3 linked regions of the Rhinolophus ferrumequinum genome follow. The protein of the gene in region 2 interacts with the protein of the main gene of each other region in a pairwise test. Links are inferred from orthologs where the notes say so. Each region holds a gene or a part of one and is shown on either strand. Other genes may lie near its edges.

Evidence for each region.
Region 1: the proteins of VPS52 (region 2) and TBC1 domain family member 22B interact in binary tests that used the Homo sapiens proteins (3 or more experiments, as listed by UniProt). The link is inferred for Rhinolophus ferrumequinum from reciprocal best matches to the Homo sapiens genes VPS52 and TBC1D22B.
Region 3: the proteins of VPS52 (region 2) and RAB4A interact in binary tests that used the Homo sapiens proteins (3 or more experiments, as listed by UniProt). The two-hybrid records come from large-scale screens. The link is inferred for Rhinolophus ferrumequinum from reciprocal best matches to the Homo sapiens genes VPS52 and RAB4A.

The regions. Positions count from the first base shown.
Region 1 is NC_046286.1:7,334,374-7,338,120, reverse strand, and holds the start of TBC1 domain family member 22B, read right to left. Parts: upstream 2,424-3,747; 5' UTR 2,316-2,423; coding exon 2,260-2,315; intron 1-2,259. UniProt on the Homo sapiens protein: May act as a GTPase-activating protein for Rab family protein(s).
Region 2 is NC_046286.1:3,617,691-3,621,437, forward strand, and holds the start of VPS52 (vacuolar protein sorting-associated protein 52 homolog), read right to left. Parts: upstream 2,826-3,747; 5' UTR 2,594-2,825; coding exon 2,504-2,593; intron 1,691-2,503; coding exon 1,606-1,690; intron 1,461-1,605; coding exon 1,408-1,460; intron 1,222-1,407; coding exon 1,146-1,221; intron 956-1,145; coding exon 888-955; intron 581-887; coding exon 405-580; intron 17-404; coding exon 1-16. Other genes in the region: RPS18 (40S ribosomal protein S18), read left to right, coding at 3,009-3,011, 3,491-3,589. UniProt on the Homo sapiens protein: Acts as a component of the GARP complex that is involved in retrograde transport from early and late endosomes to the trans-Golgi network (TGN).
Region 3 is NC_046310.1:27,088,424-27,092,170, reverse strand, and holds the start of RAB4A (ras-related protein Rab-4A), read left to right. Parts: upstream 1-974; 5' UTR 975-1,214; coding exon 1,215-1,245; intron 1,246-3,747. UniProt on the Homo sapiens protein: The small GTPases Rab are key regulators of intracellular membrane trafficking, from the formation of transport vesicles to their fusion with membranes.

The sequences.
Region 1 (3,747 bases), about 3.7 Mb from region 2:
TTGTCTATGTCTTTCCCCACCCAGGAGAAAGTGTTTCTTCACTAAAACAGAAAGAGTACAAGTGCAAAAATTATATTCTTGAGAAAATGCCCTAACGTTTTCCTTAAATCAAAGCACTTACGATCTAAAACTAGTTGTCCCCATAACCAGGGGATCCTGGAGGCTTCCCTGCTAAAAACACATAACTAAACAATACTTCCTCTCAACAAGCAAGGTATAAAAACTACTGTCAATCATGGCAACACTTTGATGTCTCAAGATAAACAATGAACATAAATACCCAGCACCAGGGTAAGGATCTGAGTAAAGGTTTATTTATTTGCTTTAAGAATAATAGTAGTATTAAGAATAATTAGTAGTAAGAATAATAGTAGTATTAAGAATAATAGTAGTAAGAATAATTAGTAAGAATATACTAATTACTAGTATATAATGAGCAACCATAATGTACTAAATAAATACTGTCCTTGGTTCTTTACAAATAGGATGTTAAATTAAGTCCTCACAGTAACCCTGAGGAAAGTATTTTTATCCTCATTTCATAGATCAGGAAATTGAAGCCTCGAGAAATTGAGCAAACCATTTGTCCTTAATCACACAGGTAAAAGGGTCCAAATAATAACCCAAGTCTTTCTGAACTGAAATGATCTCTCCTCTATCCCTCTATATTCCTCTTCAAAATGAAAAAGGAAGCCAGAAACTTGAGAAAACTGAAAAGACTCCTCTTTCTATCTTGCAAAAATAGTGCCTTGAAAAAAGGTGACTGCTCCTATAGTCCAAAATAGGAAACACACAAAACGAAAGATTGTTAATAACAACTAGCACTCAGCAGGCACAAAAGACCGTGCCATGTCCCACATCTCATCTATTGCTTCCTGATTTAACAGTTCTCCCATTGATTCTGATTATAACCTTAGGATGTCAACATTTAATGATCTCACTATGGAAAACCCCAGAGAACAACAGTTAGTGAGACTGGAGAGCTCACTAGACCAGGAAGGAAAAGGAATCAGTTGGCAGGAAGTGGTGCTTATCTAAAAACATAGAAGTCATTAGCACTGACATTAACACTGTAATTCCACAGCACTTTCATCTGAAGCTATCTCTGCATTCCCTTGCATTATTTTAATACTGTGTCACTAGTAGCTGAGTCCCACCATTCTCCATATGTCTGATAGGATCCTAAATAAAATAAGTCTGCTATATAGCCACCATTGACCCTTTCTCTCTTGCTATTGGAAAAAAAAAAAAAAAAGGTCACAAGTTCAAAGGATTATCCCAGAAAGAAAAGACCCCAATCAATGAGGAAAGGTAGCACGTGGGGGAACCCACATGAATTTCATCACCAAGCAGACTATGGCTGTCAGAAATCTTAAATTCACGACGGAACCTTCACTCCTCCTTATACATCTCAGGACTCTGCCCAAAACAAATTGAAACTGTAAACCAACAGCAGATGGAAGGATGTACAATTGTTAAGGGTCTCAACATACATCAAAAAGGAAAAAAAAAGTAGCTTAGAAGGTCTGCTCTCCAACCCATCAACTGAACAACGAAAAAATTTAGTAGAACGATACAACGCAGGAGGGTAAAGGGTTACTTGGGGTTGAATAAATCCTTAGAAAAGATTAAAGAAATAACCTCAATTCTTGGGTCACCCTGTAATAATTCCTAATGGGAAAAGGCCAACTGAAGATGAAGTAAGGTCAGGCCTGAGACTTTTCCTCATTTCTCCTGTCCCCCTGCAGAGGGTCCCAAGCTCCCAGCAGAACCTTGCTGGAATCCAGGAAAAAGGTTCCTACGTGCAGAGCTGGAGGAGCAGGGGAAGGGGCCATCCTTGTCCAAACAACCACCTGTGTGTGGGGGAGACAACCCCCCCCCCAAGAGAGAGTTCTCTTTAACGTGAGAAGCAGTTCCAGGGCTGACCCTCCTAATCCAGGACGGACACAGGCTACTCATCCCACTCCAGGGTCTTTTACGCCCGGACTCCGGCCACCGTCTGGCTGAGGGCAGCCCCTCCAGAGCCCTCCACCCCCAGACCCGGGGCTGCTCCCACAACCAGCCGTCCCCAAACCCTGCTGCCTGCGCCTCATCCTGACAGCTTCCCTGCCGCCACCAGGCAGCCCCAGCTCCCCCAGCCCACGTTGCCCAAACCAGCCCGCCGGGGTCGGCGGAGCTCCAGGCCCGCGAGATTTAGGGCTTCGGATCCGGAAGGGTTTGGTCCAATCCCCTCTTCCTCCTCTCAGCTCCTGGGCTCACCTCCCCGGCAGCTTGGCGCTCCTCTTCCAAAACTGCTTGCTGTTCTCGGCAGCCATTGCTCTGGCCCGGGGAAGGCCTTGTAGGCGGGCCAGGGGGTACTCGGCGAGATGCCCCCAGGACCCCACAATCGGAGGGCCAACCCAGGCCACTTCCCCCGCTGCCGGTCACCCGCTCCTAGGTGCTGGGACCGCCATCTTGGATATGGGCACCTCCCCACCCAGCGCCGCTGCCATTGGTGGACTGCCAGGCCGTGGTCGGACGAACCAATCAGGAGCCGGAATCCTGCAAGCCGCTGAAGCCGAACGGTGACGTCAGGGGCTGGGCGCACAGGTGGACCGGGAAGGCGGAGCTCGGACCCGCAGGGAGGCGGGACTGAAGGTTCCTTAACCTGGAAGAAGCAGGTGAAGGACCTATGGGAAGAGGAAAGGGTACAGTTTTCTTTGGAGGGAATGAGGTTCTGGAGTCTAATATTTTTGGGGAAGAGAAAGCATATGTATTTATTTATATACGTAAATCTTGACCTAAAAATGAGGTCCCATGTGTTATTTGCAGCCCATTTTAAAATCTCCCACCCAGCTCAGTGACACTGGTTATTACCCTCCGTTTCCCTTTCGGTTCGGACCCCGATATATATATATATATTTTAATCTGTGAAGGAAGATCAATACGGTTGGATAGCGTATGGTTGCTGACTGTTCAACACGTGAGTAACGGTTGGTTCATGAGAATCTTCTTCTCCTCTGTTCATTGAACACTATTGAAGGACCTGTGCTGTGGGTGAAGTTCAAATGATCTAATCCAGGGGTGTCCAAACTTTTTTCAACGGTTTTCACCAAGGGCCATATGCAGTAAAATACACACACAGCCGGGCCACTCACTCGAGGTGAAGTACGTATTGCCTCACCTGGTTTATTTAAGTAAACTAAATATATTTTTGGAATTTGTTGCGGGCCAATTAACAATGGATCCTGGGCCACACTTGGCCCGTGGGCCGCAGTTTGGACACCCCTGAATCCCTGTTTCATCTAATAACTGTCACTTTCTGACCAGAACCCAGATGCTGACAAAGTATTCATCCAATTCAGACCAAGTAATGTTTCTTGCGAGGACGCATGAATATATCTCCATGACGTGAATCACAAAGAGTAAGGATATAAACCCAAACAGACTTAATTTCTCTTATTAATCTATTATCAGTTTTTCACCCTTGACTTTATTTTCAATCTAGTTTTAAATCCAGAATGAGATTTAATATTAGCATTTTGAATCCTTTGAATGTCTCGTCAGTGTTTTTTGCTCTTTTTCAGTTTCTGTGGCTGTACACCAGTGATGAGGGGCGTGGGCAGAAAGCACACACCAGTCAGAATAGTTTCCATCCCAACAAAGGACTGTTGAGGTGGCTTGTTTACTGCTACCACATGTCTTTTCACATATTGGAGAATACTTAAAGGATTCCTTGTCTAAAGGACATTTTTTATATGCCTTCCA
Region 2 (3,747 bases):
TGCCTCCAGAATTGCCCTGGGTAGCAGGACGGGGTGGGACGGGTTAGGAGGGAGACCCAGACATCCCTACACTCCAAATCATATCACTTACATCCAGCCTCTGTCCCCTTGCCCTTCTTACACTGTACCATACAGTCAGGATATACATACAGAGTTTTCTATTCCTGGACCCCCGCTTCCCACATAAGCCTTGGACCCCCTCACTACATGCCTGACCCTGGACGATTCCTAGTCTTTGATGCCTAAAGCATGCATCAAGGTTAGAAACAGTTGTCAACCCAACCATCAGTTTCTGGATGACACTTGATAACCTGGAGTCAGGAAACCCATGTGGTAAATAGGTTAGGTCACCCCAGCCTATCTACCTGCTATAGACATTGTGACCTTTCAAACTGGTAACTCACGTGACCAGAGCAGAGGGCACTACCAGGCCATCGACAAGCTCCCCGAGTTTCCCCCGAACTGCCTGGCGGTTTCGAAGCCGAATGTTCATGGCTCCTGACTGTTCCTGCAGTGTCCGGATCTCAGAGCTGATGGAGCTCAGGTCACTCTGGAAAGCTCCCAACATCTGCTCCATGCGCTGGGGGGAAAGGCAGAAGATGTTGCTGGAGTGTCACAGGGTAGGTAGGGGACACGTGGGACACCTAAGCACATTGGTGAAGTCCCCAGTATCTATCAGTCCAGGAGGGTAGCAGGTGATGAGGGAAGAGATACCCCAAAGGTCACTAGCAAATAACATTAGTTACAACTATAACAACAAAAGGCTGCTGAGGTCATCCTGGAAGTGATTCTAACTGTCTCCACCTAAGGTTGATGACCTAAAGAGTGGCACCAAAGACCATGATCTGGTTCAAGGTTATTAGAGATCACAGGTCATGCTTACTAACCTCAAGGACAGCATCGCAGGCTGTGATCTGGTTGTGCAGAGATGCTATGTTCTCACTCTCTTGGATATCTGACCCACAGAAAGTCAAGGAGGCTCACCATGAAAATGGAGATCCTCAGGCCTTCAGGACCTCTTCAATTTCGCCCTGAGGTGACAGAAGCCTCAGAGAGAAGATGTCATCCCCAGTTAGGCTGTCTGCATCATGCTCCACAAAATCCCCATTTTAATAATACCACCCTTTTCCTCTGCTGGAGGATACAATCTCGAATGGATTTCTGTTCAATCTGCTGTAGCTCCAGCTCAACCTGCTTTGAATAGTGACGGAGATCCACACCCTGGGAGAACATAAACAGGTCAGGAGGAAGTCACAGTGAAGGGACACTGGAACAGAATCAATGAAGGACCAGAAGGTAAGACATCAGGGTGGCATTATAAGTACAAGAAACTGTTTCCTTTTTTTTTTCTTTAAAAAGGTGTGGGCAGGGGGTGGCGTGGCAGATTAGTATAGCAGAAAGACTTACCGTTTTAAGAGCTTCCTTTACTAACTCATCCTCCAGATTTGCCTGAATGTGAACTGGAAATAGAAGTGTATTATAAGGGTTCAGTTCCATAATGCCCTCTGCCCGCACTGAACATCTGCACACCAACCCCTGCCTCATTACTTCCAGCCCCCATGCCGCTCAGATTATAGACGCTCTGCATCCAGTGCCATCACTTACCATCCACTTCATCCAGGATAAATTCATCAGAGGTAATGTCCAACTCTCCAAGCTGCAATGGCTCCTGAAGACCAGGACCACCCCCCTGGAGAGGGATAAATTAATGAGAAAGGATACACGGAAAGAGGGGGAGAACACAATATAATGGGATAATCGCCAATACTTCAAGGGGGAGAGGGGAACTTTTACTGGGGAGCCATAGGTGCTGAGTCAAAAACTTCCAAGAGTCTCACCTTGTACCCAATCTACTACTTGGGGCTGAAGTGTAGGGACTACGACAAGGAGCCATACAACCCACAAAGAGAATGAAGATGTCCAACTGAGAAAAATTAGGAGTTGGAGAGGACAGAGCAGAACTTGCAGTTGAATTTAGGAGTCCCCAAACTCCTGCTATCTTAGGTGTTATATCACAATCTCTCTAGGGAGCTCCAGCCTTTCTAGAACTGTCAGCTAACACCCAATAGTTACTTGGAGGCCTGGTTCCATCTTAAATATACTCATTCATGGACTCATAACCAACAACCTATATGGTAGGTCTTATTATTTTCTTCACCTTATAAGGTAGGTATGTAAAGCGATGGCACAGAGAAGCTAGTTAACGTGCCCAAGGACACAGCATGTAAGTAGCAGAACTAGAATTAGAACAGAGGCAATCGGGCTCCAGAGGCCATACTCTTAACCTTCACACTGCACTGCTTTTCTATGCTGTCTCATAATCTGGAGGTTAACTGAAATTGTGTCCTGGGAAGCTGAGTTTCCAGCATTCTGGCCCCAGGGAGGGGTATGGAGAGGACCTCCGGTAGCAGCCAAGCTCCCACTCTTGCAAAAACCCAGCCCAGATCTTTCTGACGCAAGGACGACCGGACAAAATCCCGGAGAAACAGCCCGGCGTTCTCACCAGCGGGCCCTCCTCCTCCTCCACATCTGAAGCCCCGGCCCGCAATACCAGCTCCCGGGCAGCTGCCGCCATGGTGGCAGCGGCAGCCATTCCGCGCAGCCTCACTTCCGGCAGCTGTCAGTCGCCGCAAGTCCGTTTCCCGGAGGGAACTACAAGTCTTAGAGTGTCTTGCACAGCGCGAAATCGTTCCCAGATATTTGCGTTAAAGCTCTAACCACTTCACTCGAGTACAAATGGGAAATGGAAGTCTTAAGCACAATCTCGCCCGGAACCTTCGCTGCTCTCTAACCCCAAAAGTTTACGAACTGTAAATAGACGCGGAACCGGAAGTTGTGACGACTAATTTAGACTCTCAGAAGTCTAGTGGACTAGGGCATAAACTGTTTCCGGAAGCGCTTCACTAAGGTAGTCCCGCCTCTTCCTCCTGATAACTATATAAGACTATTACGTCACTACCGCTCTCTTTTCCACAGGAGGCCTGCACGCCGCCACTGGGGCTGCCGCCATGGTAAGGCTCGAATCCGTCCGGGGATCCGGCGACATCCGGACCGGGGCAGGGAAGGTCTGCTATCAGCGGACCGAGAACACCCTGGTTTGGGGCCTGCAACTTTCTGTGTGGAACCTTGGATCGCGCCCCGGGAAGGAACGACTAAAGACATCCAGTTCCGGGGAGTGGGGCCAGAGGAACAGTCACTCCCCGGGCGCTCAAAAACGGCGAAAGGCTTGGGCGCGTTTGGGGACCTCCGGCCTCCGCCACTCAGAGTGTACTTTTGGGAAAAGGCAGGAGATTTGTCCTCTCCCAGAGGTTGCATTTCCCCAAGTCCAAACACTTCATGTTCCTGCTGTCTGCAGGTCTAAGGAGTTTGCTGTGTTGTGAAAGCCTGACGAGGGACCATTGCTCCCTGTGTGACAAGTTGAACGTTCCTGTTTGAGGTTATGAGTTGATGGTCGTTCACGGTGTCTGCTTTCTCCCCCAATCTCTATCAGTCTCTAGTGATCCCTGAGAAGTTCCAGCACATTTTGCGAGTACTCAACACCAATATCGATGGGCGGCGGAAAATAGCCTTTGCCATCACTGCAATTAAGGTAAAGTAGGGTAAGGAGTGGAGAGCATAAATGAAACTTAGGTTGTAAAGACTTAAGCTGTAAGTGAGGCAAGGTTGAGGAAACAAGTCCCAACCAAATCACTTCAGCTGCTGGGTGAAAAAGAGAATCGCTAATACTCATAACTCTTTCCCACATTT
Region 3 (3,747 bases), on a different chromosome or scaffold from region 2:
TCTTCCAACTTGAAGATATGAGTTATATGTCACAGGTATCACCGCCTGGGTGTTTAATTGAGGTCAGTTTTTCAAGCCTCCACCTACCTGTGTGGAACTTGACTTCTTCTGAAAGTAACACCAGATATTTCTGAGTCCCTAAATATTCCGACAGACACACACGTTGGCTCAGCGTCCAAGGAAAGTCACCATAGAGACTGTGACCAGTGCCCTCTACCAAGCCTAGCTCCGTCAAGGATGCCATGTCCCTTTGCTCCCAAAGCCACTGCTGCCCGAAATGTCAGGATGCTGCTGGATTCTCATCCCTAGGCCTTTTAGGGTCCCCTCAGGGAACGGGGCTACTACTGTTCTAGGTCCAACTATGGGTGTTCCCAGGCGCCTTCAGTTATTGTCCATCAGTCCCCACTCGTCCCTCCAGATACCACTGTCCCCACCCTCCAGATACCACTGTCCCCACCCATGTGACCCTCTGCTAGTCCTGGAGAACAGGAATCCTTGTGAGGCTGGCTCCGTGAGGCATTGCCAGAGAGCAAGAAGGACAGTGTCAGCTACTTAGCAGCAGGTGGGATCTATTTTGGAAGAAATGCTTCTCCCTTCGTTTCCCTGAGACAAATCTTCGATGTGCCTAGGCTTTTGGAAACCTGCTTTTACTCTTTCACAAACCTCCCTTGAAGAGAAAGGAGAAAATAATCGAAGAAAAACACAGATGAGTTTTGCCGTAAGTTTTCTTTCCCCACAGTACCTCAGAATGAAAGCACTTCCCAAGATTAATTAAGAGAAATTTATTTTGTCTCAAAGATCCCAAGTTACCGAGATGCAAAGAATTTTTCACTTCACCGGCCCCGCCCCGCCCCGCCCCGCCCCGCCCCGCCCCGCCCCGCCCGGCTCCCCGCCTCCCGTCCCCCGCCCCCCGCCCCGCCCCGCCCCCCGCCCCGCCCCGCCCGGCCCCGGGCTGCGTGCGCACGCGCGTCCCCGGGCGGGGACTGGGCCTGGTGCGCCTGCGCGGATGGGCAGTCCGGCGGGGCCGCAGCCGCGGGGTGGCGGGCGGTTGTCTTAGAGACCGCGCGGGCCCCTCCGTCCTCCGGACCCCGCCCCACGCCGTTGCCCACCGAGCCGGACGATCCCCGGACGACCCCGGGACGACCACGCCCGTCCCCTGCCGCCGGCCGGGCCGGAGCTGCGCCGGGACCCGCGAGAGGCGGTGCCGCCCCGAGATGTCGCAGACGGCCATGTCGGAGACCTACGGTACCGGGCGCAGGGCCGGGGGCGGGCGGGCGGTGCGTCCCGGTCCAGGCCTCCTGCCGCGCTGACGCCCCGGGTTCCTCTCGGCGCGGTCTGGTCTCCGTAGCGCGGGGTTTGGGAAGGCGGCTCGCGGCTGTTCCATCTGCGGCATTGTCCCCAGCGAGGGACGTGACGGGCTCGGGCGACGCCTGCGGCCCCGGTGGACCTTTGCTGCCTTGGAGCCCCCTCCTGCACGGGGTCACGGGTGGGGCCGGCTCTGTGAGCGGCTCTCGGGGGCGTGTGCCCCGCTCGTGTCCCCTCGGGTTCAGCCCCTTCTGGTTGCGCCTGACGTTGGCAGTGTCTCCAGACGGCGGGCACCTCGCGAGCACCGGGGCCCGCGTTTGCGCGCCGCTGCTCCCGTCGGCGCCCACACCTGCGGGCGCCCAGCACATACCTTTTGAATAAACCGAAGCCTTGCGGAGTCACGCGCGGTTTTCGTCTGGGTGTGAGGCCTGCGCGACAGAAGTGAAGTGCGCGGTGTGCGCGCCCGCCCTGTCGGGGCTGAGCTGGCGCCGCTTTAGTCGCCCTGAACGGCGTGTGCATTCAGGTCGAGGCCGATTGGGAGTTTTACAGCCCAGGTCAGAGGCTCGGATTCAAAAGTGTGTACCTCACGTCGGATCACTTTTGTCTCCGTTTGTGCTGTCACGCTGCTCCTTCCCCTTCAGCAAGTGTGTGTGCACGGGCGTGCGGAGCCGCGCTGGAAGGCGCTGACTCCCGGCGGGCGGGCGGTCTGGCTGGGGGTTCAGTGCGGACCTGCTTATGCCACTGACGAGTGACTAGTTAAAACCCCTGGCAGGAGTTCCGAAGCCTGTGGTCTGTGAAAGTATGTGAGAAAGAAACCTAACCCAGGCTGGGGGCCAGGGGACGGCAGCACAGCACGTGCCCAGGCCCAGGCCGGGAGGGAGATGCAGTTCCACTGGGGGAGTGTGGCTTGGGCCCCACAGCCCCTGGGAGAGCCCTGAGGGCGAGGCACAGAGGACCTCGTGCGAGGATGTGGTCTTTCTCCCGAGAGCGGTGGGTGGGTCAGTGCATTTGCTCCATGTCCTGCCACTCCTGGGAGTGGTACATGCATGGTGACACTGGGGGGCACTGCAGCAGGTCTGTCCCTAGAAGGCTTTGGAGATCCTCCAGGAAGTCGCTGGCTTCACAAGGACCAGTGTAGTCAGAGCTGCAAATGCTACAGTACGTCACATCCCGTCACATCCCCGTGGTCCATAGAGAACCACTGTTGAATTTCTTAAAGAAAATATATTTCTCTAGCAATGTTTGATTATACTTTTGCTTTTCTTTATTTTCAAGTGCTCCTAACCTCCACACTCCTCTTTAACCTGGATAAGGAGCACAAGAAAGGGGTGAAAAGTCTAAATAAGAAAAGCCAGTGGGGTTATGAAATAATAAGAAATGAGTGGAAGAGTTCATTTCTCTTATATGGGATGATAACCTTGATAAAATGGAGCATGCCTCTGGCATCTCTGCTTCCCTTCTGACAGTGAATTAAACTTTTGAGCATCACAGTAACTGATTAAATTTGATCCTAAGGTTTTGACCATCAGTATTCTTATTTCATGGTAACTTCCAAACATGTTTTTACTTTTTACCAACAGAATTTAATCTTTCTCTCTAGAGGAAACAAATAGAAAATAAGTTTTAGAAAGAGCAAATGTGGAAATTGAAAGTGTCAACCTAAAATTAAAAATCACTCCAAACCAAGTCCTAAGCTGTCACCTTCCCTTATTGACCATTTTTGCACAGCATTGTGCCCCAAAGGTAAATCAATCAGGGGCCCTCCTCCCACACATTTGCCTCTTGGATAGCTGGTAAAGGAATATTTGCCTAATCTTTAAACTCCTTTCTAGTCTGGGCTCACTTTCTCTCTTCTGGGAAAGAAGGCTCTGTGTAGCTTGACCGGGATGATGAAAAAGGAAGAGCCAGGCTTATAATGTACCGTTAGTGAGCTCTGTCTGCCCTCTGTGTGCCTGTTAAAGCATTTGATCCCCTCATAGACTGAGGAGTGTGCAACATTTTGCTGCTTTGAAACCACTAACCACATGAAAACTCTATGTATTATTGTAACAGAAAATTGAAATAAACACAGAAGTTTCAGATTGAAACCTTCAATCTGAATAGCCGTCAACTAAAACAGTGGTTCCCAAATGTTACCAGGTTCATGACACTTTGAAAGCCCTGGCCAAGTAGGCTGGCTTGGGACTTCCCAAGGAACTGCAGCCATCTAACACGGGAGATCGCAAATTAGCTTTAAGTAATTTCTGATAATCAAGATTTATGAGACAAAACTAACAAATCAGAGAAGTATTAATAGTTCCCAGCAATGGAGTTCAGAAAGGAGCTAAAAAGTGTTAAGTGATGCAGAAAATGCTATGAATTAAAAATAAAAAGTTTAAGGGCCGAGGCAGTTTGAGAGAGGAAAAATCTAAGGTAAATCTCTCTCTACACACTGGAGTTTAT